Linked DNA regions of Oreochromis niloticus. The protein of the gene in region 2 purifies or fractionates together with the protein of the main gene of each other region. This does not show direct contact. Links are inferred from orthologs where the notes say so. Each region holds a gene or a part of one and is shown on either strand. Other genes may lie near its edges. The genes, in order: cdkn2aipnl and xrn2.

Evidence for each region.
Region 1: the proteins of xrn2 (region 2) and cdkn2aipnl purify together in Homo sapiens (co-immunoprecipitation; 6 studies listed by BioGRID and IntAct, with this or other methods). This does not show direct contact. The link is inferred for Oreochromis niloticus from reciprocal best matches to the Homo sapiens genes XRN2 and CDKN2AIPNL.

Annotation. Positions count from the first base shown.
Region 1 is NC_031975.2:22,884,485-22,900,788, forward strand, and holds cdkn2aipnl (CDKN2AIP N-terminal-like protein), read right to left. Parts: upstream 7,081-16,304; 5' UTR 7,043-7,080; coding exon 6,831-7,042; intron 4,933-6,830; coding exon 4,827-4,932; intron 4,716-4,826; coding exon 4,707-4,715; 3' UTR 4,349-4,706; downstream 1-4,348.
Region 2 is NC_031980.2:23,314,059-23,330,128, forward strand, and holds the start of xrn2 (5'-3' exoribonuclease 2), read right to left. Parts: upstream 6,396-16,070; 5' UTR 6,241-6,395; coding exon 6,166-6,240; intron 5,147-6,165; coding exon 5,019-5,146; intron 4,770-5,018; coding exon 4,658-4,769; intron 4,514-4,657; coding exon 4,402-4,513; intron 3,514-4,401; coding exon 3,455-3,513; intron 3,348-3,454; coding exon 3,258-3,347; intron 3,098-3,257; coding exon 3,025-3,097; intron 2,291-3,024; coding exon 2,240-2,290; intron 2,070-2,239; coding exon 1,912-2,069; intron 1,321-1,911; coding exon 1,246-1,320; intron 732-1,245; coding exon 598-731; intron 1-597. UniProt on the Homo sapiens protein: Possesses 5'->3' exoribonuclease activity. May promote the termination of transcription by RNA polymerase II.

The DNA.
Region 1 (16,304 bases), on a different chromosome or scaffold from region 2:
TCTATTACTGTGCGCACAGCGCGATCATACACTCGGTATGACAGACAAACGCTTCTGGAGCTACGTTCGTCAGCCAGTTCGGACTTTACAGCAGGTTTCGACTCCGTGGACGCTCTGCTGCCTGGGATCCTTTGTTTACTCGCGCGACGTCGAGGGAAAACAAAGAGGGGGAAACGCGCCGGAGTTTTGTGCCGAACGCGACAGAGAAACAGCAAGCCACCTCTCCCCAGCATCCTGCTCGCGAATCTCCAGTCTCTGGACAACAAACTTGACGAGCTGCGTGCACGGATTAAACACCAACAAGACATCAGGAACTGCTGCGTTCTGGCCTTCACAGAGACATGGCTGGAGCCCAGCGTCCCCGACTGCGCCATCACGCCGGATGGATTCACTGTTTACCGGGGAGACCGAACGAAGGACTCAGGCAAGAAAAGGGGAGGAGGGGTGTGCTTTATGGTTAACTCCTTGTGGGCTAGAGATGTGTGTATCTTAAAAACTTACTGCTCTCAGAGCCTCGAGCTGCTGACCATTAAAGTCAGGCCTTTTTACCTCCCGAGGGAGTTCAGCTCAGTTCTCCTCTCAGCTGTTTACATTCCACCACACGCTGATAAAGCTACGGCTATGGACGAACTGTATGACATCATCACTGGACTTGAGAACAAAAATCCAGAAGCTGCCTTTATTGTGCTGGGAGACTTCAACAGAGCCAACATGAAGAAGGTTCTCCCCAAATACTATCAGCACATCTCCTTCCCCACAAGAGGTGATCAAACACTGGACCATTGTTACACTCCATTCAAAGAGTGCTACAAACCCCTCCCCCGCCCAGCTTTTGGTAAGGCAGACCATTGTTCCATTCTGCTGCTGCCTGCATACAGACAAAGACTAAAACAGGAAAAACCAGCTTCCAGGGTTATTTACAAATGGGACAGTGAGGCTGAGGAGGTCCTGCAGGACTGCTTTGAGACAACTGACTGGCAGATATTTGTGGATGCAGCTGATGGCAACATCAATGAACTCACAGACTCTGTCATTGGATATATTGGAAAGTGCATGGATGATATCATCACAAAAACCACTGTCCGCATATACCCAAATCAGAAACCCTGGGTAAATAAAGACGTTCGCGCCAAGCTAAAAGTGCGGACCTCTGCCTTTAACTCCGGGGATGCTGATGCATATAAAGCAGCCAGGTATGACCTCCGTAAGTCCATAAAAAAGGCCAGAAAGGACTACAGGGACAAAATGGAGTCCAGCTACCACAGCTTTGACACCAGGCGACTGTGGAATGGACTGCGCTGCATCACTGACTACAAGAAGGTCAACACAGTCAGTGTCCAGCCCACTGCATCTCTCGCAGACGAGCTTAACAACTTCTATGCTCGTTTTGATGCAGACAACAGAGAGCAGATCCTCTACCCTCAGGAGGACAGTGAGGCTGCAACTTTAACTCTGAAAACAGAAGCTGTGAGATGGACCTTTAAAAAGGTCAATCCTCACAAAGCTCCAGGACCGGACGGCATCCCAGGCCGGCTACTCAGAGTGTGTGCAGACGAGCTGGCAGAGGTGTTCACCAACATCTTCAACCTCTCCCTGAGGCAGTCAGTGGTCCCCACGTCCCTCAAAGCATCCACCATCATTCCCGTTCCCAAAAAATCAGTGGTCTCCTGTCTGAATGACTACCGTCCTGTTGCACTGACATCCGTCATCATGAAGTGCCTGGAGCGGCTGGTCAAAGGTCACATCTGCTCCTCCCTCCCTGACACACTGGACCCTCTTCAGTTTGCCTATCGGACAAACAGAGCCACAGAGGATGCCATCGCCCTGGCAACACACACCACCCTCACCCACCTGGAGAAAGGGAATACATATGCAAGAATGCTCTTCATCGACTACAGCTCGGCATTTAACACCATCATCCCCTCAAAACTTGCCACGAAGCTCGTCGACCTTGGGCTGGGAACACCGATCTGCAGATGGATTCTAAACTTCCTCACAAACAGGCCCCAGGTGGTGAGAGTTGGTAAGCACACTTCCTCATCACTCATCCTTAACACAGGTACGCCCCAGGGTTGTGTGCTTAGCCCCCTCCTATATTCCCTGTTCACACACGACTGTGTTGCTAAACATGAGTCCAACATCATCATCAAGTTTGCTGATGACACAACCATCATAGGCCTCATCACAGACAACGATGAGACGGCCTATAGAGAGGAGGTGATGGCACTGTACGAGTGGTGCCTGGAAAATAACCTGACTCTCAACATCAGCAAAACTAGAGAAATGATAGTGGACTACCGGAAACGACCAGTCAGGGAACACCAGCCCATCCACATCAACGGTGTCAAGGTCGAAAGGGTCAGCAGCTTCAAGTTCCTTGGAGTCAACATCACTGAGGACTTCTCCTGGACCCTTCACACAGACACTGCTATCAGGAAAGCTCGCCAGCGGCTTTACTTCCTGAGGAGGCTGAGGAGGTTTGGCATGAACGCCAGCATCATCTCAAATTTCTACAGGTGTGCAATTGAGAGCTTGCTGACGAGCTGCATCACAGTTTGGTACGGAAGCTGCTCTGCCGGCAGCCGTAGATCACTACAGAGGGTGGTGAAGGCAGCAGAGCACATCACTGGCACGAGGCTTCCTGCCATTCAGGACATTTATCACCAGCGATGCCTCCGTAAAGCACACAGCATCATCAAGGACCACAGCCACCCAGCACATCAGCTGTTCTCCTTGTTACCATCTGGCAGACGTTACAGGAGTCTGTCTGCTCGGACTACAAGACTTAAAAACAGTTTCTACCATCAAGCCATACGACACCTCAACCACAACACTTAAACACACACAACACAGCACTCAGAAGCTACCCTGCAGCTTCACAAGTACTCTGATTAATCTGCACTGGTCACTTCACTTTATTGTTATTGTAATTTATATTTAAAAAGTGCAATACTGTAAATTTCTGCTGCTCATTCCTGTGCAATATCCCATCTGCCCTCCCGTCATATTTCTTTTCAAGATTTTCTTATTTAATCACTAGTGTACATATATTTATATTTATAGATACATATATATTTAGTCATCTTTTCTCTTTTACCATGTCTCTCTAATATTTTGTTCTTTACTATTTTTCTATCTGTTATTTTATTTTATTATATTATATTTTATTATATTTTTTCCTACTGTATCATGCTGCTGAGAGACCGCTGCTCGTCAAACACATTTCATTGCGATGTTGACCCTGTGCTAACTTGCATATGACAAATAAAACTGAAAACTGAAACTGAAAACTGATGTTTGCTGAGCCTCTGTCTTTACGCTTCTCGTCCCAAAATCAATGCAAGCTTCGTCAAAACTTGAGATTAGTACTGCAGTGATTGATTAATCTATAAGATGTACTGTTATTAATGAGCAATAGTAAATATTGCCAAAAACTAAATCCATTCATTGTATTTGTGTGGCAATTAAATCAATTTTATTAAATGCAGAAATGAATCACAAGTACAGTAATGTCCAAAAATGTTAATGTTAAGCCACTAAACTGTGGCTTAAGGTGAAAAAGTCCCTTGGGAAGCTTTCTTATATTAGTAGAACTAAAAAACAGTTCTCACAGTATTGAATCTGTGGGATGAAGTCAGTTTGTTGAGTGCATGTCTGCGTGTTTAACTTTGCTTGTGAATCACTTGGTATGAGTGTCTGTAAGCCTTTAAAGGAGAATGTGGTGGTTGCAATGAAGCGAAGCAGTCATATCAGCATTCTCAAAGCTGAGGCTTGCCCTGTGCTTTTGCAACGCTTCCTGCTGAAGAAAACAGACGTTCTGACGGCGCACATGTTAATAATTAATGTTAATAATAATTGAGTGTCCAGCCTCACAGCCCCAGGCCAGCTGCTCAAGAGTTTTACTGACCTATATTTTCACTGGTCTCCAAAAAAGCTTTTATTTTCATATTTTTATTTTTTATACTTTTATTTCATATTTTGAAACATTATATTGATTAAATGTATTTAGAGAAATCTGCAAAATATATTGCTAAAGCTTTGAAGTAAATATGGTCTAGTGCACCCTTTAAAGTCACCCCTGCTTGCTGCAGGTATTGCTGCCATGTAAAATAGGACAGCTGCCAACACACCGTGCCAGAGTAAGTTAACAGCTTTTATGTTAACCTCTGTAGCTTTACTTTTAACTAAAGTTCACTTTTCTACATGTCGGAGCTCGTTGAGCAGACATAGTTATAAGTAGTAGTATTTGTATTTTATTGCCGTGTATGATTAACTATGGAGTGGCTCCATAATGTAGTTGAAACAATGTGACCAGGAGGGGGCACAGACAGCAATGACAACACAAAAATGATAAAAACAAGTTCTTTATTGTGCTTCAGACAAGAACATCAGTGTCATCTTTAGTTTGAAGTTACATTTAAAAAACACATGTTTTAAAAAAGTTAAACTGATTGAAATACTTGAGCAGTGGGGCTCACAAACTCCCGCAGACACCACTGCTGTTTGTGCACAAATAAAAAGGCTAAAAGTCTGAAGAGGCCAGTTTTTTCGCTCAAAATAAAAATGTCTTTTGATGTCTGAACTCCTCACGACTATTAAAAACACCAGGATTGTAAAACTATTAAAAAAATTTTTTTTAAAAACCAAACAGTCTGACTTGATAAAAGCTGAATCCAGTCTGTGTTGATCCAGCATGACTGGTCCAGTCATCGACCCTGTGACAGAGCAGAGAGATCCATTAACAAAGACTGTCATTATAGCTGTATGTGTGTGTGTGTGTGTGTGTGTGTGTGTGTGTGTGTGTGTGTGTGTGTTCACAGACATACCTGTTGCTTCTTAACGATCTCATCTCTCGTCTTGAAGACCGGCGCGTCCTCCACTACGATGCCTTCAGCCATTTCCTTCACTTTTTCCAGCAGCTCTGTGCTATACCTGCCATCGATTATGAGACATAACACTTCATTAAACCGTAACTCATCTGTGTGCTTTATATTCTTCTGTAAGAATATAGTGCACTGGGAAAATAACATCACTGAACAACAGAAAACTATAATACTGGTAAGAGAAGAATTGTTTATTCTTCGATAAAGTTAACAAATGTGAATGATTTCTTCACCTCCTACACATTTCCCTTCATATAAATGAAATTTAGTCCTGCTTCTGATTCACATTTGAGTGCAAACTTATGGATGACGAAATAGTGATATCCTTTTATCTGCCATTTTTGCATGATTGCACCCTATACCAATTCCGAGGGTTAATGTCTTTTAGAAGGTGTAATCACAGAAGCCATCCAATATGCACTTCAACAGCCAGCGCTGCTCCTCGAGTGCCCTCAAACTCACTGAAATGAAAATCCAATTTTGTGGGTTTATTGCTGTCCAAAAGCTAATACCAGTCGCAGACCCCAGTGGCTGCAATTACAGATTACTACAATGACAAGTCGATCTGTTAAGTTGTTTGGTGTGTAACAAAAAATAAAGATTTTTTTTTTTAAATAACTGGAAAAACAAAAAAAACGATTCTGTCTAAGAGTCCAAAACATTCATATCAAGTCAGGCATACATTTCATAATCACAGTATATCACAAATGTCAGTAAATCAATCTGGTCAGGAAGAAGAAACCTGCTTTGTTGCAAAATAAAGTGACATGTGCACTGGAGAGGCAACAAAAAGACAGCCCACCCTAGTTCTGCTTTTTGCTAACATCCATGTAATTGCTAGTAGCGTGAGGCAGAACCATGAAGCCCATTCACATTGCACAGGTAGTCTAGCTTCTCTGGGATTGCTGTTGCAAGGTTAGCTATATCTGCCCGCACAGTCTCAACATGAGTTTGGAGAGTGAGGGTCCAATGGATGAGGAACTTATGTGGGTTACCCAGACCTGAATACTACCAGACCTTTTGAATCAAGAAATCACTTCTCATTTTAAATAGTTTTTCACAACACTGTGTCCTTTTATTTCTCCTTGGACTCACACTGCAAACAGTCAGAGGAGATTTTTAAGGGCAGATTTCCCCCTCAACTTTGGCCAAGTGCTTGAGGTTAGAGGATCGCTAAATCTTAGGGTTTCAATTTCTTATGTAGCAGAATTTTTACCATATACACCATATATAAAAACATAAGGTGCCACCACAAACAGTAACAAAAATAGGGTAAAATTGAAAACAAAGACAGAGACCCACTTGATAACCAAAGACTGTTTTTCCAGTGAAGAAAGACTGGATGTTGTCCAGTAGCAGGCACAAACATCTGATATACTGATATAAATGCAATATTGCATTGATATTTCCATTATACATACATTATATTTTTTCCCTGAACCATAATAGAGAAAAAGGAATTTTAGGGCCATTAAAAAAAAAGTATAACCACGTAATTTATCCAGCAGGACATCTTTACAAATCTTTACAAACTCAGCATCATCTGCAGCAAATGTAGCAGAGTAGCATTGCAGCTGATGCAGACGACTCCAGTGCTGCAGGGGGCAGCAGCGAGCCCACCAGCGGAAAATAAACCTCACTATAAACAATAAACTCTAAATCTCTAAATAGTTTGTAAATAAATAGTAAGTAAGCAGCAGGAACAACAACAATAATAATAAGTAAGTAAGTAAATACTATATCTAAAATCAAACTAATAATTTCAGAGAAAAGAGAACACTGGTTGTTACCCTTTAGCAACCCTTTAGTCTGTTTAATAAGGAAGACGAAACTTAAAAACAGTGGTTAGTCATCCCGGGCTGTGGGAGCTGTGGAGCGGCTGTCTTAGAAAAAGTGTCCGTCAGCAGGCTTTAATTAGAGGCATGAAAGCACGCTGTGTTTACCCACCGACAGCCGAGGAAGACGTTGTTGGCCCACACCATGGAGAGGGAGAGCAGGTGGTCCAGCTGCGAGTCTTCAAAGTCGTTCAAGTTCCGCAGGATGAACTCCCGCCTGGGCTCCCAGTGCTTGTCGCTCTCCCAGTAGCCTCTGTATGTCTCCACCTGCTCGGCCACAGCTCTGTTTTGTTGGATAAAATCCTGAACGTCCAGGGAAGACATCTTGCTCTCCCTCGGCCAAGACAACAAAAGCGACTTCCTGTCCTTTCAAGCGGGTCTTTGAAGTCGTCTTACAGCCCTGCTTGTTTTACACAGCGCCACGCAGTGGTGGAGCAGAGCGGTGGTTTACATCCAAATGTGAACAGGAACTCTCAATATTTCATATGCAGTGTGCTTCAGAGATACTATGGAGTGCAATAATTAAGAAATAATTAATTAATAAATTAACATATAAATTCATTTTATTTAAAAAAATTAATTTTATTATTTTACCATTTAATTGATTATTTTATGGTTCATGAATTTATTGTGTCAACGTCACCTCGGGGAGTGGGGCTAAAGCCGATCTAGTTAAACCCACTGTTTTGGTGTGGAGTTGTTTCTTTCAGTGGGTGTTTCTCAGTGACAAGTACACAGAGTTTGTACTTGCACACTTGTTACTTCCCACTTGGCAAGTACACTCAGAAGTCCAGACTTCTGAGGGCAGAAGACACAGCTTACAGTGCGCCAGCAGCATAACTGATGACATCAGGTGATTAGTATTTACAATGAAAAAAAAGAGATGTAATTACCTGTGTTCTTTTAAAATATATACAGTTTTATAACCACTCTGGCAAGTTATCAAAGTTTATTTCAAATTAAAATTTGTTATCGATGCATTTAATTAATTGTTTGATTTTATATTTATTTATTGCATTCTGGGACTCTTGGCCCTCTACAGTCAGGCAGTAATGCACAGTAATTGTTAGCCCTCTCAGGTAATCTAGAGAGCTTTCTCTTACATGTATTCAGTCATTCTGCCTCAAGGTCAGATACAGGACACCTTTATACCTCATGTTTCAATTCCTGCATTTATTTATTTATTCCAGATTTTTGTAATTAAGTAATAATATAGTAAATTATACTGTAACAACTAAAATCAAAAACAACAAGAGCAAAAACAGAATTTGACATGGCTTAGTAAATGTAGCCTTGCCATGTACACATATTTAAAAACATTTTATTATATATAATATAAATAAAACATCATTTTTTCAACGTTATTTTTTTACTTTTTAAAAACTGAAACAGTGTCATTACGATTTTATTGGTTTTAATATTGCTTTAAGAAATGTTCAAACTTATCTTTGGTACTTCAATCTACAACATAACACCTCATCTTAGCTCAGAAAATGACTGTTTTCTGACTATTACTTGTTTTTTATTTTATTTTATTTTTAAAAAAGTATTGAATATTTCGTTTATTGAAAGACTCCACCCAGGGACTGCAGATATAAATGAGATTTCTTTGTTAAATTTGTTGGAAAAATATTTTAATTTTTTTTTGTTAAAGCACAGAATAAGTTAGCATTTATTAAAGTATTATTTTTTAAAACTCTGAACATTTACTGAGGTCTGAGTGTAGTGTGATTAAAAGAATTCACTTACATGGCAGGAATGCTTTTCTTCGCATTTCTTCTAATCATCTGACTTATCAAAGCAGATGAGATCACTTCCAAGGATAAGTCTGTGTTCCGTGTTAAGTGGTAATTCCTGGACCCTGACACTGATTTGCATGAATGAAACGAAGCCATCCATAATGTTAATTGAATCCGTGTTTTTGCTTTTTACGTGCAGCAGTCTCAAAATTTAAGGAGAGCCACTCACCGCCTTTAACGGCTGCCAAGAAGCCACATTAGCTGACTGTAGACTGTAGTTGGGCCAACACAGCTTTAGGCTTCCCGGGGCTTCTTCCCCCCCCCTTCTGTGCCGTCTTTCCATGTTTGAAATTCACGGAGCAGGTAGTGTGTCAATGAAATGTTTGCACCACATGCTCGCTCACTCGCTTTCATGTTTTTTTTTCCTTCTTACTTGAGTGAAATCTCTATGCACTTGACCAGCCTGCCAGGAATGATCAGAGAGAAACACTGGACCTCCAGTCTATGGAAAGGAGCTTATGGGCAGTCATTCAGGCTCACAGATATACTCAAACACACACAGGGACACACACACGCAGTCTCCATTTCCCTCTGTCTGCACAGATATGTGCGCTGCATAAGCCTACAAGACTCTTCCATCCTTATGACGCTCTCACTCGCTCACAGCAGAGGATTTGGGGCTTGTTTTGACATGAAGTCATTGATATGCAGAGGGATTCCAGAGAAAGGCAAGCCAACATGAATTCAGAGGGACAGACAGACAAGCACACTGCTCAGTCGCTGCGTTTCAGAGCACAGCGAAATCCAGCTAATAACAGTGAGATTAAAGGGTTTGGTCCGAGTAGCTTTATGCTCTGCATGGTAATAAATAATCAATATATTTGAAATGTGGCTTAAGGGCTGCAAAAATGACCACAAAGAGAAGTTGCAAGTTGGAATTGATTGAGAAGATAAACAGTGAAAAGTGAAAAACGATACATTTGTTTTCCATTATTGTTGTTATGTAATTTTATAAGGCTGAATGCAATAGGCAGGCAAATATTTATAGAAGACACACACACCAAGAGTATCCGGTTATGTAAACATCTAAAGCATATGAGATTTGTCTCGTAGGAACGCCGGAGAGACACAATCTAAAGGGACTAACAGGCCGAGCAGGTTGGAACAAAACTCAGACATGCAAACATGAAATAACGTCTGTGCAGAACCAGACAGGATTTTATTTAATGTGACGGAAACACTGATGAGAAGCTGATAAAAGATGTGGGGAAGAAGAAGAAGAAATATGGAGTCATCTTTATGTGAAGGTAAGGACCTTGTGAAGTGCAGTGAACACTATAGGCACTTATCAAAGGCCAGGCTGCTCTTTGCAGTCGTTTCACTTGCGCATGGCTGCTCAGTTAACCCTAATTTAAAGGAGGTCAAATCATCAAGCAGCCAGTGCCAGGATTTATTTTTTAGCCTGATTTTTTTGGTGGGTTTCTCAAGGTTAGCGCCACATATAAAAGAGAGCAAAAAAACTGAATTCCAATATCTGAGCAACCAAAAATAATAATAAAGAAACACAAACTCTGTGATGAATGAGTCAAGCTGTTGCACTGGCTGTGTTTATTGGCTTTATTTGCTGAATAACTAAGTTGAAAATGATTTCTGACAGTCCCCTTATTTGCCTTTTAAACGCCTCCCAGATGTTTTATCTTCACCTCGTTTCCAGTGGAGCCTTGAACATTGCAATTCTATTTCCACGCAGTGTCAGTTTACTTCAAGTGGTTGCAAAACTTGGTCTTGACAGGCTGCATTCTCCTGCTGCTCCGAACTGAGTGTTTCACGCACCATCACAAAAGAACACGGAGGCATGAGCAAACTCCAAAGGAACACGGTGCTGTCTTAATCTTCCATCTGCCTGCTAAGTTTGCAACACAAAAACACACAATCTCTGCGCACTGAGGAGGGATTTTTCCTCATAAATGCACATGTATAACGCACGCATCTGAACGCCCATATTAAATACTGAGTGTAGCCTCTTCAGATGTACCTCGAGTCCTATAGACAAGAAAACTCACAAGTACATGCAGATCCACTTTCACCTCCTCTCGAATTCCCACAGAAAAACCACCAGCAGCACTCCGGGGTATGTTATATTTCTGGGTGGCTTCCAAGTCATACAAGTCACCACTTTATTGAGTGAACTAACCCATTAAGTTTATGGCTTCACTCTCTCCCTCTCGGCTTGAAATATACACTGATGCTTAAATAATACACTGTTCCAGCCAACACTGGCAGACAGCCGTTTTTGATGAGTCACCTAATGTATGCTTACTCAGGAGAATGCTGTAATTGGGGAAAGACAGACAACAGGTAGGCCTTTCAGCCAGAGACCTGGGGGTGCGCCAGTGAGGAAGAATTAACCCTCTCCTTAAAGTGTCAGTGGATTTACACCTCATGGGGAAGTTTGTTCGATCTTTATTAACATAGCAAAAGTTAAACCTTCAGAAACTGCACGCAGTCGAGTGAGTTATCATAAAGGGGCCAATACTGATCTATTGAATTTCATGCCTTATCTCCCGATTCGCCAAGGAAGGTGCTTGAAAACAAAAGCAGCATCTGTGACGGCAAATACCCACAAACATCATGTGTTTCTGCTCAAATGACATGAATCCCTTCGATAAACACTGAAATTACCTTTTGCCCATCTGGAAAGGGAAAAAGTGACATCACTACGGCTAGTGTCATTGAGGCCACTGTTTACTGTCTGCTGTTATTTTAACTCAAATGTTGATGTTTCCTGAACCATCTTTTCGTCTAACTTGATCAGGTACATCTGCTCTGCTGCTTGTTAACACAAACGTCTAACCAGTCGATCGCATGGCAGCAACTCAACAGGACACGTGGACATGGTCAAGATGACTTGTCTCAGTATTTTAATACCTGCTGATATACAAATATATATACACACACATATATATATATGTATGTAGGCGGCCATCTGCCTATGTATATATATATATATAGGCAGATGGCCTATATATCAGCCATCTGCCGGAGGTTTCTTCCTGCTAAAAGGGAGGTTTTCCTTCCCACTGTCGCCAAAGTGCTTGCTCATAGGGGGTCATATGATTGTTGGGTTTTTCTCTGTATGTATCATTGTAGGGTCTACCTTACCTTGAGGCAACTGCTGTTGTGATTTGGCGCTGCATAAATAAAATTGAATTGATAATAATTGAATATAAAAATAATAAATATATAAATGAGCCACATTTATACAACTCCAAGTAGATGAGAGAACAACTTCTATAATGTTAAAATTTGACTTAAATGAAGATTATGAAATTTAAACTCACTGAAAAAGGGGTTTACTTTTTGAGAAGGAATGTCAGAATTAGGCTCCACTTGACATTGCATTGACTTTAGTTTCCCACACACGACGGGTGCTTTAAACATTTTAGGCTTGGGACCCGAGAGATGCAGTCTGTCACCCTGGGACCCCGACTAATTAAAAAGTAGTGCTCTTGACATGTAGTGATGCCAGAACAGTAGGGCCTGCTAGCTATTTCAGGTCCTGAATCCTGACCTAGTGTTTCAAAATTAAAGAAAGAATATTCAGGGTGCATACACATCTATTGGCCTAATTGCAGTTGACATGGATAGCGGGGCCGTGATAGTGTGCATGTCTGTAATATGTGTACACAAGCACTCTGTGGTAACACAAACCCACAGCTGCTTTCTGAGGAGCATTGTCATCTTCAGTATTCACATATTGATCTTATTTTCCGTAATATGTGGTTATGAAAATCAAATGCAACCTATGTCATGGAAAAATAGTGTAATGTTGGCTGATGCTGTGTGTGTGCGTGTGTGTGTGTGCAAGTGTGTGCTGTTATTGTTTGTTGTAACTGTGGTAGGTGGATGATAATCAGCGATTTTACCAGCAAGCTGCACAGACATATTTTGTTAAAGACTTTTACCCGTAAAAAAAAACAAAAGTCCAAAGACAAGAAAGAGAAACGACAGCAAAGTAGTTTATACAAAACAGAGTCCAGAGTCCCAAGGTGATGAAAACAATTAAATATCTCAGATTCTTTGTTTTTGCCTACTCTGTGCTTTTGGAAACGACTCTGCGGCTGTCACTGTCTTTAATTAAATAAGCATAAGTTTTGAAAACTGACAGTACATTTGTTTTTTTCCGTGGCATTGAGCCTGCTACAGATAATGGACAACAGGACGGCTCCCAAAATAACTGTCACTGTTGCACCGATCACTGTATAAATGCTTCATGTCATACCACATAAGTCTCTAACCCAAATTCCCAAAAAGCTGTGACGCTGTGTAAAGTAGAAATAAAAACAGAATCTCAGAAATCTATATTTTATTCACAACGTAACATAGAAAACATATTTCTATGTTTCTGGAGAATCTGGGTAACAACTTATTATAATGACACACTATTAAGCACTATTTATTAGTAAGTGCTTAATTCACCATTTATAAAGCATGTAGTTTCTAAATACAGTTTATTGTTGATCCTAATTAATAACCTGATGTGTAACATGTTCATTACATAATTTATCATGTCTAACAATCATCAAGCTGTTAGTAGTTGTTATGTATTTTGTGTAACCTCGTCTAAAGAGAGGACTATTTATGCCTTATAAAGCATTTATAAATGAAAATGAAAGTAGCTGAAGACTCAAACAAGTCTAAGCTATCTTCACAAGTGAAAAATGACACAGACGAAGCACAGAGAGATACACAACATACAAATATTTATTGGCAGATGCAAACATATTGCACCTGAGGTTTGCAGAATATTAGAAATGTTAGTGGGACCAGAGTCCGAGTTTGAGGGGTTTAAGAGAGAAAGACACACTAGGCAATACTACCACAGGTTAGTTTAAATTAGTATATTCTGAAGATTCTTCGTTTAAAATAAAATAAGAATAAAGTGTTCACAAAATAATAGTAACTATTTTACAGAACGGTAACCACCATAATTAGAGTGCTCCTCATGTTAAACTGATAATCCAGGAACATGTCTCTGGGATTTCCTGAGGCTCAAATTTCCTCTTGTTTGTAGCCTGTTAGCTAGCTTTAGTCAGATAAGTCAGCATAGTCTGGTTCACTCCGAAGAAGTCGGGGTTTCCGGTCCTGTGCTTTAACACAGGTGAACTCAGCTGAAATGAAAGAAGTTGTGTATCATCTCCTCCTCTGGCACACTGAAAACTCTGAGCAGCTCCTCGGGGTAAGGAGGTGATCCGGTTAAGAGGTGGTTCTCCCTCGTCAAAGAGAATCCCGAATCAATCGGCTTTCCCCATCTTAAAATCCCCAGCCTGCAAAACAGAGATGTTACTGCATTAAGTTAATAAATACCAATATTTAACAGTCATGATGAACATAAGATCAGAACTGCTACGACACTATTTTAGCTTTTTCTACATTTGTCAGCTTTACTACAATATGCAATTATTTCCTGCATATAAAGGTTATTTAAAAGTAAAAGTGTAAGAGGATAAGCAGTACTATATGTTAGAATATTAATCTATTTCTGCCTGTATTAGCAGCAGGTCCACGTTCTGTAAACCTATACAACTAGCTGTATTTTGTTTAATGTGGAGAGGACCCAAATGCAACGCAGACAGGGTGATTCTTCAACAAAAGCTAAGCCTTTTCTGTGGCTGATGAAAAGTCCTAAGTAAAATACAGAATTCCAGCAAAACCAGAACAGAAGAATGTGAGGTGCATGGAAAACACATTGGAATGCACAAGAGAAACCAATTATCAAAGTAAAACAGGCAGTGAACAAACAACTCAATGCTGAAATGACATTAAAACATGCAAATCAGTATTACATGTGTTATGCCCCTCTGCAGCCCCTAATCTCTTTGCAGTGGCAGTGCAAAAGTGCAAAATTAGCTATTGCTAATTGACCACACCTAATCAGGTGTGAATAATGGCATACCTGAGGCAGGCTTTCATGGAGGCACAGCTATTTTAGCTAACTTATTATATAATTTAAAATCGGGTCGGGTTTAACATAAATGGGGGCTCATCCGGGATTTGAACCCAAAAAACATTACACAGGAGTCCCAAACTTATATGCAACTCTGAGACCATGCGTGATTTGCAACAATGGTAAACCAGTAAATATGACTATGAAGTTTCTGAAATACCTTAAGGTGATTCTTTTTAAAACAAATTTACTTCTTTAGCATTTCAGATGCACACAGCATCAAAGAGACAACTTAGCTAATATGGTTGCACTATGACGTTTCATCTAATAGAAATATTGCTGCTACACACAACAGATTTAAGGTAAATTGTCTTGAGCACACCCAAGATAAAACATTTGTTTGAACAAAGTGCATAGAAAAGTTCTCATGCTTGTTCATGACGTTCGGTTTTGTAAGTAATGTATTTCAGTAGGAAGCATCTTTTTAGCTTGTATTGTATGGTGTACAGACAGTACAAAAGATGGACATAGCATTCATGGGATCACCCAAATCCATTCTGAACACTGGATATGGTTGCTTTTGCACTCTTGTTGTTTTGAAACAAATGAACTGGTTAAACCTCCTTTCTGAAACTGAGAATGACCAAAAATTCACAAAACGTTCTGTTTCATTCAGTACGATACAAAATGTGGGACTGAGCACCTAAAATCATCATGGTACAGAAGTGACGTTAAAGGACCATTGTCCCATAGACTTCGCTCCCTGGTGTTAATTGAAAAGAGTGCCAGTTTAAATTATTGTCACACTGGCTTTACTTTTTGGGGCCAAGAATTTTTATCCTTCTTTTATGCTGTCTATGATGTGGTCCACAGTGGGGTGCTTTGAAAGAAGGCAACTGCTTTTAACCAAAATCTTTTTCTAAACCTACCTGATTAATTTTTACAACCCCTCTGAGTTCCAAAGGGTGGACTTTAACAGTGGAAAATGTTAATTTTGGGCACAAATCAGTACAAATTGGACCCATGAGAATGAAAGCTGTTCTGGCACATGAAAATAAAGGTGGGAAACTCATGTGCAGGAAGACCAAAAAACTGGGGAAGTTGAGTGCAGTAACACTAGTCAATAGATGGTGAGACTGTGGTAACTTTAGGGGAGTTTAGAAAAACATTTTGCTATAATGTGGTAAAAAGTAAGCCTTCAAATGTATCCCTGAAATGTACTTAAGCAGAATGAAATAAAGAACTGGGCCTCCTGTAAGTGCCCTGTGTTTTTAATCTAGTTTTGAGGAGAAAGTATTTGCCCATAAAGATCTAATGAATCCAAGAGATGGAAATCATGTTAAAAGCAAATTTACTAACCAATAATTTTAAAAATCTAGGCTACAACACGGTACATAAATGTAAGAACAGGTTTACAAGCCTCACTAGGAGCTTGATACCAAACCCTGGAAAAGACTTACTTAAAATGACTGCCAACATTATTAAAGTTAATAATTACAACTGTGCTTTCAGGGCGACTGCCATCAAAAAGTCTATTGTCAAAGCCTGAAATGATTTTGATGGCTAATACTGCAATCTACAACTAAATGAGTGCTTCTGAAAAGGCTGTAAGACAGTGAGTTTAAAAAAGAAAAAATAAATTGTAAAATTAACATGTGACTCAAACTGGCAGAGTACAGCAGGAAGAATACATACTTTATGAGCCGAATAATTGGGCACATCTGTTCAAATCCTGGTGTTTGTGCACCTTAAGGGCCACTCAGGTTAGTAGCGTATGCACCAAAGTAAAATGTCACTGCAATTATGTCGTATATGATTTATATTTTAGTCAGTAAATGTCACAATCAGCTGATCAGCTGTAAAATATTGTTAAGAAATAGCTAGCTATCAGCAAAATATA
Region 2 (16,070 bases):
GCTATGAGATGAACTTGTGGCTTTGTAATTACAGCCTATAATAAATAAATACATAAATAAAATACTCTCTCCAGGACATTTGTTAATTTTAATTTTATTCATTTCAGTTGTTTACATATTTGCCCATTTTTATATTTTAATTATTATTATGTTTTTACATATTTCATTAAATCTATTATTTAAATCACTTGATTTTTTTATATTTATTTGAAATTTATTATTTATTTATCAAGTGAAAAAACATGGATGGATTCTAATAAGATAAGGAATAAAAATATAAAAATCAATTCACCCGAATAAAGTCTTGGAGGAGACAGAAATTTGTGGCTTATTTGTAACCCAATAATTAAATAAGTCAGCCTACTGTTTTCTCTGATTCCCCTTTTACATCATGGTGAGTAACTGTATGTACATTCTGGGTATTATAAAAGTAAACTTATGACAGCGCTTCGTAATAAGTTCTTGAATAACCTTTCACTGCAGACATCCCTGTTACCACTTCCTGAATCGACACCACATTTAAACAGCATGTTTCAGATTGATTCCCTGATGAAAGAACTATATAAAGCAGTTTTTGGACGATGAACTAAGGCTCACCTGATTTCTAAGGACGGAAGATGTGGCAGGAAGTCATTTCCAACAAAGAAACACATAAAGACCCAGTCATCTACACTCCTCTCAAAGTCGAAGGGAAAAGGCAGGCTGGCCATGGTCAGCTCTCTGGCCAGGTACTAAAGAAAACATAAGAATTAATGGAGATGATTGAGAAGGTCATTTTATCAATGAAGCAACACTTTAGCTCCTGCTTTCAAGTTCAAATGCTGTTCATAAGAGATAGAGGCAGAACATTCCTCTACAGTCCGTCTTTGATTACTTCTAAGAAAAAAAGAAAAGCTGATGATTCAAAGAAAATGTTCAAGGTAAGGCTGAAATCTTACAGCAAAGCTGACCTATAAATCACTGAACAGAATATATTAAACACATGTAACTAATTTTCAAAACATTATTTCATATTCTTACTCTTCCTCAAACTTGTTTCACAGGTGCCCGAGGTTAGGAACCATCATTTTAAGCACCACAAAGGCAACACACTGGGTTTGTTTCTGTAAAACTCATTGAACCCTTCCAGTTGGATCACATAAATTTGATCGTTTTAGATCGATTTCATGTTTGCGAACAAAAGGTGAGATTTTGACCCTAAAATAAACAACTAAAAAGAAAGAAAGCTGAGTTTGAGTGACTGACCTCCCGCAGAACACACAGTCTGATGAATATGAACTCCTGCTCAGCCGCCGGCATCGTGTTTGCAAACTCATCATGCTGTAAAACAGACATAGGTTCAGTCCGCTGACAGAGTTTATACTGCGCACTTTAAATGGCAAATGCCAGCAATGGGACATCAAACATCAATTATTTTTCAGCAGTATTTTTTGAGCCAGAAATGACCATATTTGGACAAGAGGTGGAGTCCTAAGTTATTATGAAGTTATTATGAAGTTTTAAAGCTTCACCCGTAAACTGTGCAGGCGTAACAAAGATATAGAAACATGCTAATTGCATAATAACAGACTGATAAAATGTTAAAATCTCATTCAGCAAAACCAAACCACAAACTTCTAGGTCAGCGTGATAGTACAACTATCAGGTAATTTTACTAAAATGCTCCAAAAAGCACCACAAACGCGGTCGAGAGGTGGTTCCAGTTAAAATTCCTGTAGGACAACAAACATGGCCCATTTAAACAGCTCCTACACTGAAACCATGCACAGCTCATTTTGCAATGTGCACAAACAAATGTTCCAGTCAAAGACTTTCACTCAAATCGTGGATCTTCAAACTACGCTTTAAAGCTTTGTTTTTTTCAGACAGCAGTGCTAACAGGGACGTAAACTTGAGAGTCGTGTTTCTCACCTGCCCCTGCTTCTCTCTGGGCATCCCCTGGCAGGCCTTGATCTCGTGGCCCGTCTGTCCGCAGAGACCGCAAGGTCGCGGTTTGTTGGGTTTAAACTCCTCTCTGATGATCGTGAAGTTTGGCTCGTGCGTGGCCAGGCCCAGCATGATCAGGTCAGCTGACATGCAACGAAAACACACGGTCAAAGTGGGGACTACTTGGTTAAAATATAAATTAGTCATTCAGACAGCAAAACAAGATCTCTTGAATATGCTGGGTCAGAGGAGGTAAATGGCTTCTATTAAGAGCACTTATCCTGACTTTAAGAGGGCGAATCTGAAGGCTTACCGTCGGCTCCACACAGGCAGTGATGTGTGTTGGGGTCATGGTTGGGCTGACCTGCAAGAGTCGACCATAAACATCGAGTCAACAGAAGATCAGACAGAGTGTGTGTGTGTGTGTGTGTGTGTGTGTGTGTGTGTGTGCGTGCGTGTGTGTGTGTAGTGAAGACTCGTGCTTGATGTTTGGTCATCAAAGGTCACCTGTCAAATTTGACTTCAAGATAAAAGAGTCAACCTGATAATCAACAGCACTTTAACTTTGAACTGTGAATCTGTCACTACAGTTCAGAGTACTTAAAATGAATCCACTCAGAAGCATCCCATATTTTCGCTTTTTATATTTATGATTCTGCAGTACAGCTGCATTCAAGGGGAATTACTGTGCTTTTTTCTTTTCTTCTATCACAAACACGATCTTACATAAAAAATGGCTTCAAGGATTCAAACAATGAGGTCAACATATGTCAAAGCTCAGCTTCAGACTGCTCCAATCTATCCTGCTGCTGACTTTGTGCAATGTCACCGAGATGAGACATCCCTAATATGGTCATCTCAGACACAAACCTTCAGTTTGGGAGCGACAGCCAATCAGAACAAAGTTGGCTTAAAGAGGGAGGACCTAAAACACTGAGGCACTACACCAAGACCCAGTGAAAGATGAAGATTATTTTGAACATTAAGTATTGCAAAGCTTCTTCATTAAAGCCAACCATAAAAATGTGGAGGTGAAATAATCATAAAAGGTCCCTTTAATTAAATCATTGGAATTGCTCAGAGTGTTAATGCATGTACCTCTCTGTCTCCTGATGAAGTCCATAATCTTGTGTTCACCTTCACCTGGGACGCTGGCATCAGACAGGAAGACCTGGATAACAGAGAAACTGAAGATTAGCGCCTGAAAATGCAAAATACCACGAGCTGAAAACTACAAAAAAGAGGAAAGTAAGGATGATTAAACTGAGTCATTTTATTTTATAAAAGAAATAGTTGTGGACAGGTAACATCTGGCCATAAATTAGACTCACAACAATATTCTTCCATCCTGGATCGTTGGTGAGTCTTTCGGCCACGTAATATCGCAGACACTGAGCCAGGTTGTCCATGAACTCTGTTCCCTGCAGAGAAAAGTCACTGAATCATCCATTCAAGTACAAATCCTGTAACTACGTTGTTACAAGTAAATAAACGTTAGGCAAGATTTCACTGGATGGAGTAAACTTACTGGGGTGATGCAGTTGCTGTCAAACCTTTCTTTAATCTCCTCCGGAGGAAGATAACCTCCTGTAGATGGAAAAAAAAAAAATCTTATTATACTGAGAAGAAACTAGAGGGCGGAGTTACCCCCATGTGGCTGTATTCCCTATCCAAGCTGGGCACAGAGAGAAAGAGAGGGGAAATAAAACTCTGCAGACTTTTACACTGAGCTGAAATTGATCAAATCGGGTTTAAAAAACAACAAACAAAAAAAAAAAAAAAACAGAACTGAGGAGGTTTCACAGTGAGGAAGCCGCCACACTATTTACCAAAATTTTTTTTTAAAAAGGAAAGCTCATCACACAGGATATCACTGCTCCACTACTGTCTGTATAGGGCAAATTTATATTTGCTGCATTATTAATGTTCATCTCAAAGACTGCCTAGAGAATCTTTAATTAAGGACTTCTGCTGCTTCAGGATCTGACTGCAGGACTGTGCTATGACAATCTGTCTCCACGTGTGCCCTGAGAGATGGACACAATTTTAAATATGAACTTCCTGTTTAAAAAAAAAAAGTCTACAGTCTACAGTGTCTACAGTGTTTAATCTTTCCCCTTTAATGCCTGAACTATGAAATAATTGGCAGAAGATTTTTTTTTTCAACTGGAGTGTTTAATAAATCTTCTCATAATTAAAAAAAATCAAACAATCAATTAATCAATTTGCATATGCAAGTTTAATTTTGATCATATTTGGTATATCTGCCATTTCTTTGCAATTTATTGTTTAAAAATCAGTTAATTTAGGTTTTTTGGGGAAAAAATACACACAGATGATGCACAGCCCTCAAAAACCTACAAAAACCCCATGCATCAAATTTGACGCATTTAACATTACAGCGTTTTGAATATGACATTAAAATATATTGCCCATATTTTCAGTCCAGCAGTCAAAGAGGCAAATAAAACACACCTTTCTGGATGACCTCCTCTCTCACGCGACTCTTCTCCTCCACCAACTCGACCCCTTCTTTGGAGGCACGAAACCGTCGAGAGCGCTGCTGGTTCATTTTGGCACGCGGAGCCTGGGCAGAGTTAACTTTAGTTTACATCAAAGCTACTGTCAGATTGGCGTAACACTGAAAACAAGTTTACTTCACTCACAGTAAAACTTGTAAATGCTCATCAGTGAAAAAAGCTGCACGTTTCTGTTAATGGCAGCAGCTTACCACTCCGTCGATGGCCATGTAGAGAACTCTCCTCGGCCGCACGATATTGAACAGGCGGTCAATGTACTCGAAGATGGCAACCATCATTTCGTCCTCGTTTTTGGGAGCCGGTCTGTGGAGGAAGAGACAAAGTGAAGACTTGGTATGGTTTAATTTATGAACTTTTATATATGTATAAATTTGTATAATTATATCAAATTTAAAAAAAGACTGTTTCAATTAAATTATTAATTTCCAAATAAATTACACTGGAAACAAAAACCTCACAGGGAGTATGTTTCTGTTATATCAGAAATGAACTGAGCTGTAAACACAGAAGATCGGTCTTTTATGTCCAGATTAAACTGAGAACGGTTCCTACTTGTCTTCTGGATGCGTGCAGGGGTGAATGATCCCATTCATGTCCAAGTACAAATTGTCAAATTCCACCTCATTGGGGTTTGGCTTTGTTGTATCAACAGGAATACGAACTCCATTACACTCCTTCCCCTGTTAACATGAAAGGAAACAAAAAAATAACCTTATTTGCAACAGAGCTGCAACTCTGGACAAAAATACATCCTCAGCTGTTGTGAGCTGCACTCACACAGAACCTAGCGACATTTCTACAGACATGCATGTCAGGTTACAGCACAGATGTCAGAAAGCTTTGTGATTACGTAGGATATGTATGCTGTAGACAGTTTTTTACTTTTGTACGCAATGTTTATGGCAAATAGCTCTTTGTGAATCAGCTTGTTAGTGCAAAAAATGCCTAGGATATATAACATTTATTTGCAGATTCAGCTAAAGTCATAGGAACAAATGATCTGTTTTTGTAACAGGCTGGAGTAACAAACAGCATACAGATACAATTCAAAATTGGATCTATGCTTAATTGTCCATTATGTGTAGAAAACTCTGCTCCATCCCTTGACTTAGGTTCCTTCTATGCGCGATTGCTTCAGAGTCTTAACGAAGAAAAATTGAAAATGTTCAGGTACAAGGACTGAATTGAAAACAAAGTGCAAAAGCAGCCAATGTCCAAAGATAAACCTTGAAAGACCTTCAGAAAACCTAGAGAACAGCTGCTCAAGAGCACTTTTAAAGAAACTCTGGCTTCCTGGCAACAAAACATAAAGAAACGAGGGGTGGCTCAACGCATTTCAACAGTACTGTTTAACAGCAGACCAGTAAAATAATTATAACTATTGTTAATTTTAACAATACAAAAACAACGAATCCAAACACTTCGTGTGTTTGTTGTCTCAGGTTAAAGTTCCGCGTGCGTTTCAAACATTCACACAGCAGCAGTTTTGTTTACAGTGTCACGTGTAAGTAAACACAGACTGCACGAACTTTGATTTATTTATCGTCTCCGCTCTCGCCAAAACATTTCACATTGCCGTAGTAATTTCACCCGCTGTGTGCAGCGATTAAAACGCAGTCAAATGGGCGAGAAGAGTATTAAAAAGCTTCCCGATAATGTTCCTCGGACAGGCTGCTAGCTTTCAAAGCTAACCACTCACCTTTTCCTCCACACAGTGCACAATAATTGATGGATATTTTCGGCTCAGCCAACGGAAAAACGCCGGAACTCCCATCTCCGGTAAACAGTCGTTTCTATTTCAACGGTTAAAATACGAACAAGTACGAAATGATTAAAACAGCTTAATTAAAACAAGATCGTAACTGTAGATGCGTTGGCTACATGCTGCTGGCCGTAGCCATTGTGTACCTTTTCCGGTTTATGTCGAATATTTCCGGAGCATTCTGAAGAGTCTCGCAACTCCACAGTGACCCCATGGGTCAGAGACGGTACTGCAGGCGTCCAACGGTCCTGATAATGGAAACAACTGATTCACCTGGATTATAAATTAATAAATTAAATATTTATTCCTGGACTATATTCACCACTTATGTAAGTGGAATATAATGTTGAAAACTGGGATCTATATTTCCTCCTTAATACTTTATTTTTGTTATTAGGGATATTAATATGCAGAGCTTCAGGTATTTTAAAATTAACATGAGTATAAATCAACTCCTGAACAATCTTTGCTTCCTGAGAAAGTCTCTGAAGCTTGTCAGCGATAAGTTTCTGTTGCCACACAGATCATAATTTTTTGCTGTTCTTTATCAGTCTATTTGTTATTATTATATTTCTATATTTATTTATTCACATGCTTTTTGTTTTGTTGTTCAAAATGTCTCATTTATTTATTTTTACAAAACAGTTGTAGGATGTTCTCAGTTAATTTATTGAATATTCAGGCAGAAAAGCATCAAAATTCTATAAAATTATTACTTTTTAATTTCATTTACATCAAATCAGTATAAGCCGTTGTTATTTCTTCTCATGTTTATCAGTTTGTTCTTTGTTATACTTTGTAAACTGTCTACACGTTCATATTTTCTAAAGTTCTCTAATGCAGTCAATGAATTAATAATTTACTTTAAAACTTTTAACACAGAGAAAATGACAAATAAGCAACTTTAAGAAACACATTTAATAATTTCTAATATTTCAAAATAAAACATTTAGTTTTGTTCAGTTATCTGTTTTATCTGTTAAATGTGTTTATTGTATTTTATATTGTGTATATTTCACAGCACAAATACATCATCAGATGTGCGATGTAAAATGTTAGAATGTTATTTGTCGTGCATTTGTATTAATGGCTGTGTTTATTTACGATTTGGAGATTAAATGAAATAAGACATGCTTTACTTGGTCATGCTGAAAATCTAACATTTTGTACAACAAATTTTAATAATGACATCCTATGTTTTTATTGATACCTTACAAGACACTGATAAGCTCTTATACGACAGAGTTTATGGATGGTTTAAGGATATCAATAAAAGCTTTTTAAATTTATATTTAAACATTTACTATCAATTTAAATATGTGTACCAACATAAAAATGAAGGAAAACCACAGCCACAAAATACATAACAAATATGACTCATATTTAATTTCTAATGTAAAGTTTAAGACACTGAGCAGACTTATATGTAAATTTATGCATTTTGATATTGCAAATACTACTCTAATATTATTGTCACATATTATGAATTTTAATTTTAATATTGTTATAAACATGTACTTTCACTGAGGGGTATGTGCACTGTCACTCACTGTTTTTGTTCATATAAAATATTACATAATAATAATAATAATAATAACTTCTATAGTTGAGTTTTCATGTTAAAAGTGGGGACTGAAATGTAAACAGTGCTGTGAAGAAACCACCAAAAGCCAACAGGTGTGTGAGAGGTGTGATCCTCGCAGACTCTCACTCGTGTCCATATTCCCTATAATTGCGCTGTGGTTGATCTTACATGATGTTCCTTTAATGGGGACTCTCTGAACAGATGCCCTCTCGCTTCCCAGCCCTGCAGCAGCACATTTAAGGTGAATTAGATTTTTTCTACCCTCCCTCCTCTCCTCACTGGTTCATGCAGCGGGGGAAAGGGGCCATTAGCCTCCCCTCTTCAGGCAGGGTGGGTCTGACATCAACACTGCAGTATTATTACTGCAAAGAGCCGCTGATGGAAAACACTTGGCCTGCTCCGACGAGCCATTTCCATAAACATTTACGCTGGAGCTGCAGGTAATAGGACGGAGGCGTCGTTTTAGTGTTTGTGGAGAGAAATAGAGAAGATAAAGTGAAATCTGATGCAAATGGCAGATGTGAAAGCGCACGGAGGTGAAGCTCGGGAGTATGACACAAGAATACATTCCGGCACCTGCACACGATGAGTTGCTGAATTCATGGACAAATGGTCGCTCGTTCTGGGCTTTGACTGATTTCCATAAAGTTGTTCTGCTGAGATAAAGTGGGAATTTTGGTTTATCAAAACAATCTCACAGCAGAAGTTTTAGTTTAAGCATTTCAGAAGTTAAAAAAATATGTTTCATTCGAAGAGCTGGAAAAAAAATGGAAACGTGAAGGTTCAGTCTTTATCTCATCTCTCTGTGAGCTGATTGTTCAGGGGATTCTCTGGATTGATATTCCACACGCATGCAGGCGACTGAAAGAGGAAGAGCGCCCTCACCTGGTGGATCATCGCCCGAGTTATCTGGATATCACATCTAGATGAAATTCGACTTGATCATGCAGAAAAACCTGTATGTGTCCATGGACAGTAAATTTAATCAAGCTATTTACACTACAGGTTCAACAGTAAAGATTCTATATCCCAATGCATGTTTAAAAAAGGGCATATGTAATTATTTTTTCCAATCTTTTCTTTTGGAGCTTCACAGTAGGGTTCAGCTTTACTTTGTCTTATTCCAGCTGTTCTAGAGGAACAGCTGCTGCTAAATCTCAGAGAGTCTGACAGAGGAGGTCTGGGACATGAAAACATAAAACGAACAGGCTGGAGAGATCACATGTCTCGGAACACCTCGATGGAGGCGGTGGCTGAGTAGAGGGAGGCCTGGACCTCTCAGTTTATACTGCTCCCCACACTACCTGGACTCCAATAAGCATCAGAAAGTGAACGGACAGATGACAGTGTTTCTTTTGCAGAAATCTCAATGCATAAAAATTGTTAATTGAAATAATTGTTCCTTGATGATTTCCAACACATAAATTCAACAACAGAAATTCTGTAAATGAATCCCAGTGCCTTGTAAAAACAAGGTAAAAAGTCCACGTATAATTATTTACCTTTGTTCAACATCTTTTTTTCTTTTCTACATCATATTAAAATTGGAAATTCTACTGTATAACTTATTCTACATCTCCAAATGCAGTCATTAAGAGCTATAAAACTGTACAGTCAAAACAGTGAATGAAATTAGCTTATTATAAGCCAAGAGTGCAGTTTGAAAAACTCCACTGAATATTCACAACTGTACTTCCACCTAATCAAAATGGTAAATAAGAGAGTAAACAACAAGGCAGTGGGAAATTATGTTATTGAACCACTTCTAAAAATCTCAGCTGCAACTAATTTAAGCAACAGAAACAAAGCAAAAACAGTCCTGCATCCGTTTTAGTCGTAGCTGTAAATAGCAGGTGTCTTCTGTGAATGAGCTATGCTCTGCAACCTGAGGCCAGATGGGTTTTTATGCATTGCTGTCACAGGAAGAGTGTAAGCTAGATTGCAGATGTCCCCTAAACGCGTCACATGAAGGCACTCATCAAGATACTGTTTTAAAGAGAGGCTATAAGCATCACTCTGTTTTAATATTCTCCATTACTGACTGCTTTGGAAATGTTAGAACCGAGGACACGATAAACTCGAGCAAAGTCCTACAGATCTCACTACCTGCTGTTTATGAGCAGGAGGAAGTGCAAAAGACCGGCGAAGATGTGACGAGCCAGACCGAACCCCTGCACAGAGAATTTGAACTGTTTGCTTCAGGCTGCAGATACAGAACATGAAGAGTAAAATGTGGCAGGACAAAAAAACTCCTTTATTTTCTATGCAATAGTGTTAAAAAAAAAAAAATCAATTTGTGATAGCTGTACCTTTTTTTAAATTATACTGATATTTACTGGAGGATTATATCTTATGAGTTTTTTGGATGTGGATTTAATTTTCTGTATTTGTTATGTATTGTTTTTTCTTCTTTTTATATTGTTGATGGATTTCATGAGAGCATATCTGCAAACCAAATTTCCCAGTACGGCCATTAAACTGACTGAACTGAACTGAGTGAAGTCATTCATCAGTGGGAACCAAAGACAAAAAATGTGTGAAATTAAATAAAACTTTGTGAGAACAAGTTTATGTCCGATTAATGAATGTTGGAAAAATACCAGTTTGGCAGTTCTCATCTGAGACAGTTTGAGCCTCATTCGGACAAATGTGTTTCTATTTAATTCAATTTTATTTCATTTATGTAGCACCAAATCACAACAACAGTGAACAAGTTACCGGTATTGTGATGTGGTGCAGATTATTGTAAGGTGAACATCATACAGTAATGCAAACAGTTGATCCCCTATGAGTAAGCACTTGGTGACAGTGAGAAGGAAAAACTCCCTTTTAACAGGAAGAAATCCCCACGAGAACCAGGCTCAGCGAGGGGCCACGACTGGCTGGGGGTGAGGGGAGAAAGTCAGGTCAAGAGACGCACTTTAACATGTGCAGGGAACGCGAGTACAAATCAAAGAGATGTTTGTGACAGAGAAACAAACTTTTAACAACAATTAGGAGAGAAAATCACAGTGGTCGGTAAATTTTGCATAAAAACAGCTGATGATTAAAAGTAGAATGTCCTTCAAAGAGCTACGTCTTACTTCTATAAGCTGAATACATTTCAGAGCCTGTACTTTTGTTTTATTTAGGTAAAGGAGTTGGAACAGTACTTCAGTGCTTCAGAGCTTTTCTAACACAAGTATCTGCAGCTGCACTCGAGTGAAGAACGTGTGTCCTTTTGCCAAACAAACACGTGTTTGTGTATGTGAATTTCACTTTCATTCTTTAACTTTTGATTATGACATTACATTATTATATTATAATGCTACATGGCACATTTATAAACTGGGATTAGAGGCAGCTAAAACTTGAAGGATGAATTCAAACCAACTCTGAGACTAATTTCATTCATATGTTTAGACAAGCCCCATTGATGTATTTGGTGTAAAATACTGTTCTCACCAAAGCTCCCCGGGTCCAGAGCTTCTGTCTGATGTGGTGGTTTAAATTTTTTGCTAAAAAATGAAGAAAATTATCAAAAAGATGAAAGAAGTGTTGCAAAAAAAAAGCCACAAAAGAGACATAAACTACTGAAATTTACCACAAACAGCTGCAAAGAGACACAAAAAGAAAACACAGGAAGCAAAGCAGCTAAAAAGAGATGAATAAAGGAATAAAGATGTAAAATCACTGCAAACAGAGGCAGTAAAAGGATGTCTACTTACAAAATTACCAAAACACAAGAGACTTTAAAGAGACCACTATGACACCATGAGCTACACAAGACTTCAGAGAGATGCAAAGTAACTAAAAAGAGACAAAAAAGGAGCAAAGAGATGCAAACAAATCACAAAATCATTTCCACACCAGCACTGGAGTTGTGGACTTTTCTGATGGAGATGTACATACGAACCCAAATATCCAATAGTTCATGTTTAAAAATAGACAAATGCGAAGAAATAACCAATAAAGGCAAAAAAATCACTCAAGGAGATGGAGAATGAAAGGAAAATGCAAAATTATGAAAATAAAATGAAAAAAAAAACAGAGATTGAAACAGCCACAAAGGGCTATTACAAGATCTCAAAAAGACAGAAGGAGGTTAAAAAGAGGTGTAGAAGTAATTTTTAAGACAAAATAATTACAGAATCACAGAAGAACCACTTTTAGGTTGAAAATGGATAAAGAAGATTCAGAAAACCAGGCGGACACACAAAAACAAAGACACTAAAAACTGTTCACAGTCGTTTGTGTGTTTTTCAGACCACGTGTCGGTGTTTTTTTCCACAACTCCCTGCTGGCACCTCGGTTCATTACCAAAGCCTAAAGTGATTTCTGAAGCTGTGTTAACACCTTAAGCACAGACTTTATTTTAGAACAATCACTTCAAAGACAAACAGCTAAAGTGATCACACCACACAAGACCTCTGCTCGTTTAGACTGGAACCTCACTCAGAGTCTGAAGGTACAATCAGCAGTGTCTGAGCATGAACTTCACACCAGGTCGCTGTAGGTCCTACTTACATTCAAATATCATTTTATCTCATTCAGCCTCTGCTTTCAGCGTCTGATCCAGAAGCTGATTTGTGTTTTCATGTGTTAAATTCACACTTTCACTCTCCAGCACACATTAGATATGATCTGATAAACAGAAGCTTAATAAAGGCGCGACAAAAAAAAAGGTCTGTTGCGTTGGTCCAAAGACACTGGCTGGACGTGTTAGTGCGCCTTTGATTAGCTGATTCCTTTAGCCTACTCATGAAAAGCTCAGCAGGAATTCACATCGTACAACGGAGCAATTTGTGTCTCCAAGGTTGTGATGTGTCCTCCGCGGCTCGCACACTTCTTCATATCTGAGCCTCTTTGAGTCTGTTTCTGCCCATTGTGCTGCAGGAATAAAGACCTGCCGGGTTTCCGTTTTTCATCTCCTCTGAAGCGCTCACAGGCAGCTTTATGCATCTTATTTCCTCCTATTTTATCGGAATTTTTACTTTTACTGTTTGATTATTTGTTTGCCTGTTACGGTCATCGGTGGGAAGAACGTTTGAGTTCTTGTACCGCATGGAAATTTTTCATTATTTTAATAGTGAAGATCGTCATAAACAGCCAAAAGTCCGTCTCCAGTTATTTAAAAATACAGCCACCAGAATTTTAAAAGAATCAAAGAGGCTAGACTACATCATTCCCATCCCTGCTACCTGTGGGATATACAAATCTGGACTTCTGTTAAAGCCTGCTTCCTCTTGGCTCCGCCCCACAATTTGTGATGTGTTGATGTGTTGTGATTTAGAACTCACAACACATCAACAAAGGCACAGCCCGCTTTCCTCAGGTTAGACCCTCCTCGTAACATGACATGAAGCGATGACGGGCTGGTCCTGATGTTTCTGAACAGGAAAAGGAAGAAACTGGATTTCAGATTTAGATGTTAGTATTTACTTTAAAAAACGAAGAAGGGAGGGCCGGAAAAATGACGACGGGGAACATAACAAGCTGGACATGTAAGATGGATGTCGAGTCCATAGCTTAAAGGTGAATGGCCAGCAGGGGGCGACTCCTCTGGTAGCAAAAAACATTTGATTGTAAAGAGGTCTAAGGGAAAACAGTTGCTTCTATGACCTCGGTAACACTTTTCTGATGAGTTTATGGGTCAAATTACAAGTTTAAGATCACAGAGAGTAAAACATGATGCTCATTGGACTCAGAGAGGAGGATAATTGCTGTATGTTCATTGGCTACCAACCCGTGGTGTCCTTCGGTTTGCCAGTCAGATTCACCCCACACTCGTGACTTCAGCTTTTAGAAAGGTAAGAACTTCATCTTCACAGCAGGACTTCACAAACCAATCGGTGACCCTCCAGTGTTGTGAATGTTGACATCTTTGGTGTCTATCGCCTTCTGTGGCCAGCTTATTATCCCATCTATGGGTGGACTGGATCCCACTCCTACCACTGAGCTGGTTTCTCAGCACCTATCTTATCCTCTGGAGGCATTTGGCTGTGACTGACCTTCCCTGGCCTGTGGGATACCCAGCTGTGTGTATCCCTTCAGAATCCCTCTCTCTGTCACAGTTTGGTCACACTTGTCCACGTCGGACAATGCCCTGATGTCCTCACCATAAGAAAGAAAAAACAAGGTCACAGGGAAAGATCAAGAGTCAGTCGTGTGACACTTGCTGCTGAAAGTTTCTTACATCATCCTGATTGTGACTGTGGGTGCAGTTGGTCTGCGCGGTTCAGCGGTTTGCCCCATAATCTTTCCACTGAGTGTCTGATTATACCACTTAATACACTGATAAGTGTTTATTATAAAGGAAAATGTGAGTGCATTTCATCCTCTGGGAACCATTAATGTCTGTTAAGAAATTAATGTCAGTTGAGATGTTTCAGTCAGCAGAGCAGCAGTGCCCCGTGAGCGCCAGCCCACTAACATGGTTTAAAACTCACATGTTAATGAGGGGTCCTGAATGCCTGCCAGCACAACCCCACTCTGAAAATTTTGGGTCATTTATCTGCTAATGTATTTGTTTATTTATTCCTTTGTATATCTGTTTGTTTACTCGTGTTATTAAATGAGTTAAAATGTCCTTGAGCTCCATTATGGCCATCCCAGGTCTGCTGACGGAGCAGCAGCAGCAGCAGCAGCAGCAGCAGCAGCGGGTCTGTGACTCCGGCGGGCTCCAGCGCTCTCACAGTCCACACACCCAAACAGTCACAGGATCAGTGGTGAATCTGCTCACGGCAGCTAATTGAAAAGGCCGCTCCGCCGCTCTGAAACGCTCTTGGCAGAGGTAAAGCGGTTTAATTGAGCTAAATTTGTCTCAATTAAGGCGCTCACTTAAAAGCGAGAGACGGCCCTGGCAGCGAGCCTGGTGAGATGCAACGGTGAGGGGTCCTTACCTGCACATTAGAGAGGAAGGCATTTTAATAACAACACACACACACACACTCTCTCTCTCCCTCCTCCTCCCCCTCCTCCCTCTGTTAGTGACTCAGTGGAGTGGGACTCAATTATTGTTAATGGAAGTTCACTGCACATTATCAAAAGGGAACCCTTGTCTGCTGCAGATGGGCTGATCTGTTCACTGAGTTTCAGTTACACAAACAAGTTCAACTTCAGCTGGAGGATCCAAACAAAAAGGCTCTGATGTTGCCTTCAGGGCTCATTTTCTTGTTGTCTTTTCACCTGAGGTGGAAGGAATGTTCACACTTTTTATTTTTCAGGACAGATCTCAGAACTTAATTTTATTGCTATTATTTTAGGAGAGTGACAACAAAGGAATTCTATTATTTTTAATTACACCAGTTTTTAAAGAACAAGTGCGTCCACAGCAAATGACATGTAGTCCAGAAATAAATTCATTTATTTGTGAATCTGCCATCTCTTTTAGAGGCCCAAACCCTAATCTGATAACGTGGGAAACATGTAAGATATGGTGCGCGGAAGACCAGATAAAGGCTGTGTTGGTACCAGGATTAACCTCTTAGATGTGTGCACGTGATACCTATACAAACACATCTGGAATTTAATAATGCAGCACTCTGTTTTTGGCCTAGTTTGGGAAGAGCTGTCCTTGGTTTTGAAAACTAGTTGCAAATGCAAATGCACAAATGCATGCAGGGTTGGCGTTATGATCATTCCCAACATGTATGATTTGTTCACACCTGACTGATTGTTGTCTTAAAGCACAGTGGAAGAATACACAATGCCTTTATCCAGCTAACCCTAAATGACTCTTCCTGAGGAACTAGCCCCCAGTTTGGATACTTTTAAGATTAAGCTACAAACATCCCTTTTTAGCAAAGTTTATCATTAACGTTGGATCAAGTGACCCTGATCTGAACACAGCAAGCCATGCTGCCATGCTCTTTATAGAAAGAAGACGCTTTCTCCTGACACACCACACTAGGTCAGTCTTTTTCTAACTGTGCTGTCATGAACCTTTCAGCCTATAGCGTCCGAGACGGAGCTCACCTGGTTTGTGCGATTGCATGGGAATTAACCCTTTTGAGTGGGACCTTTTGTTTGGGGCTGCTCACAGGATCAGATTTATATGTTTGGCTCGTTATCTGATTTTTATTCATGCCTCTAAAACAGCTGACAGTTTTCCTATTTCAGGCCACTCTGGGATTTTTTCCTAGCATTGTAAAATCAAATTTATTTCAGGGACATTTAAACTTTCACCACTTTGGCCTTGAAAACAGCACAGTCAGCCACTATGGATGTCCTTTTCTCCTCTTTATCTGTTAGTATTGTTAGAAATAACAGGCATAAA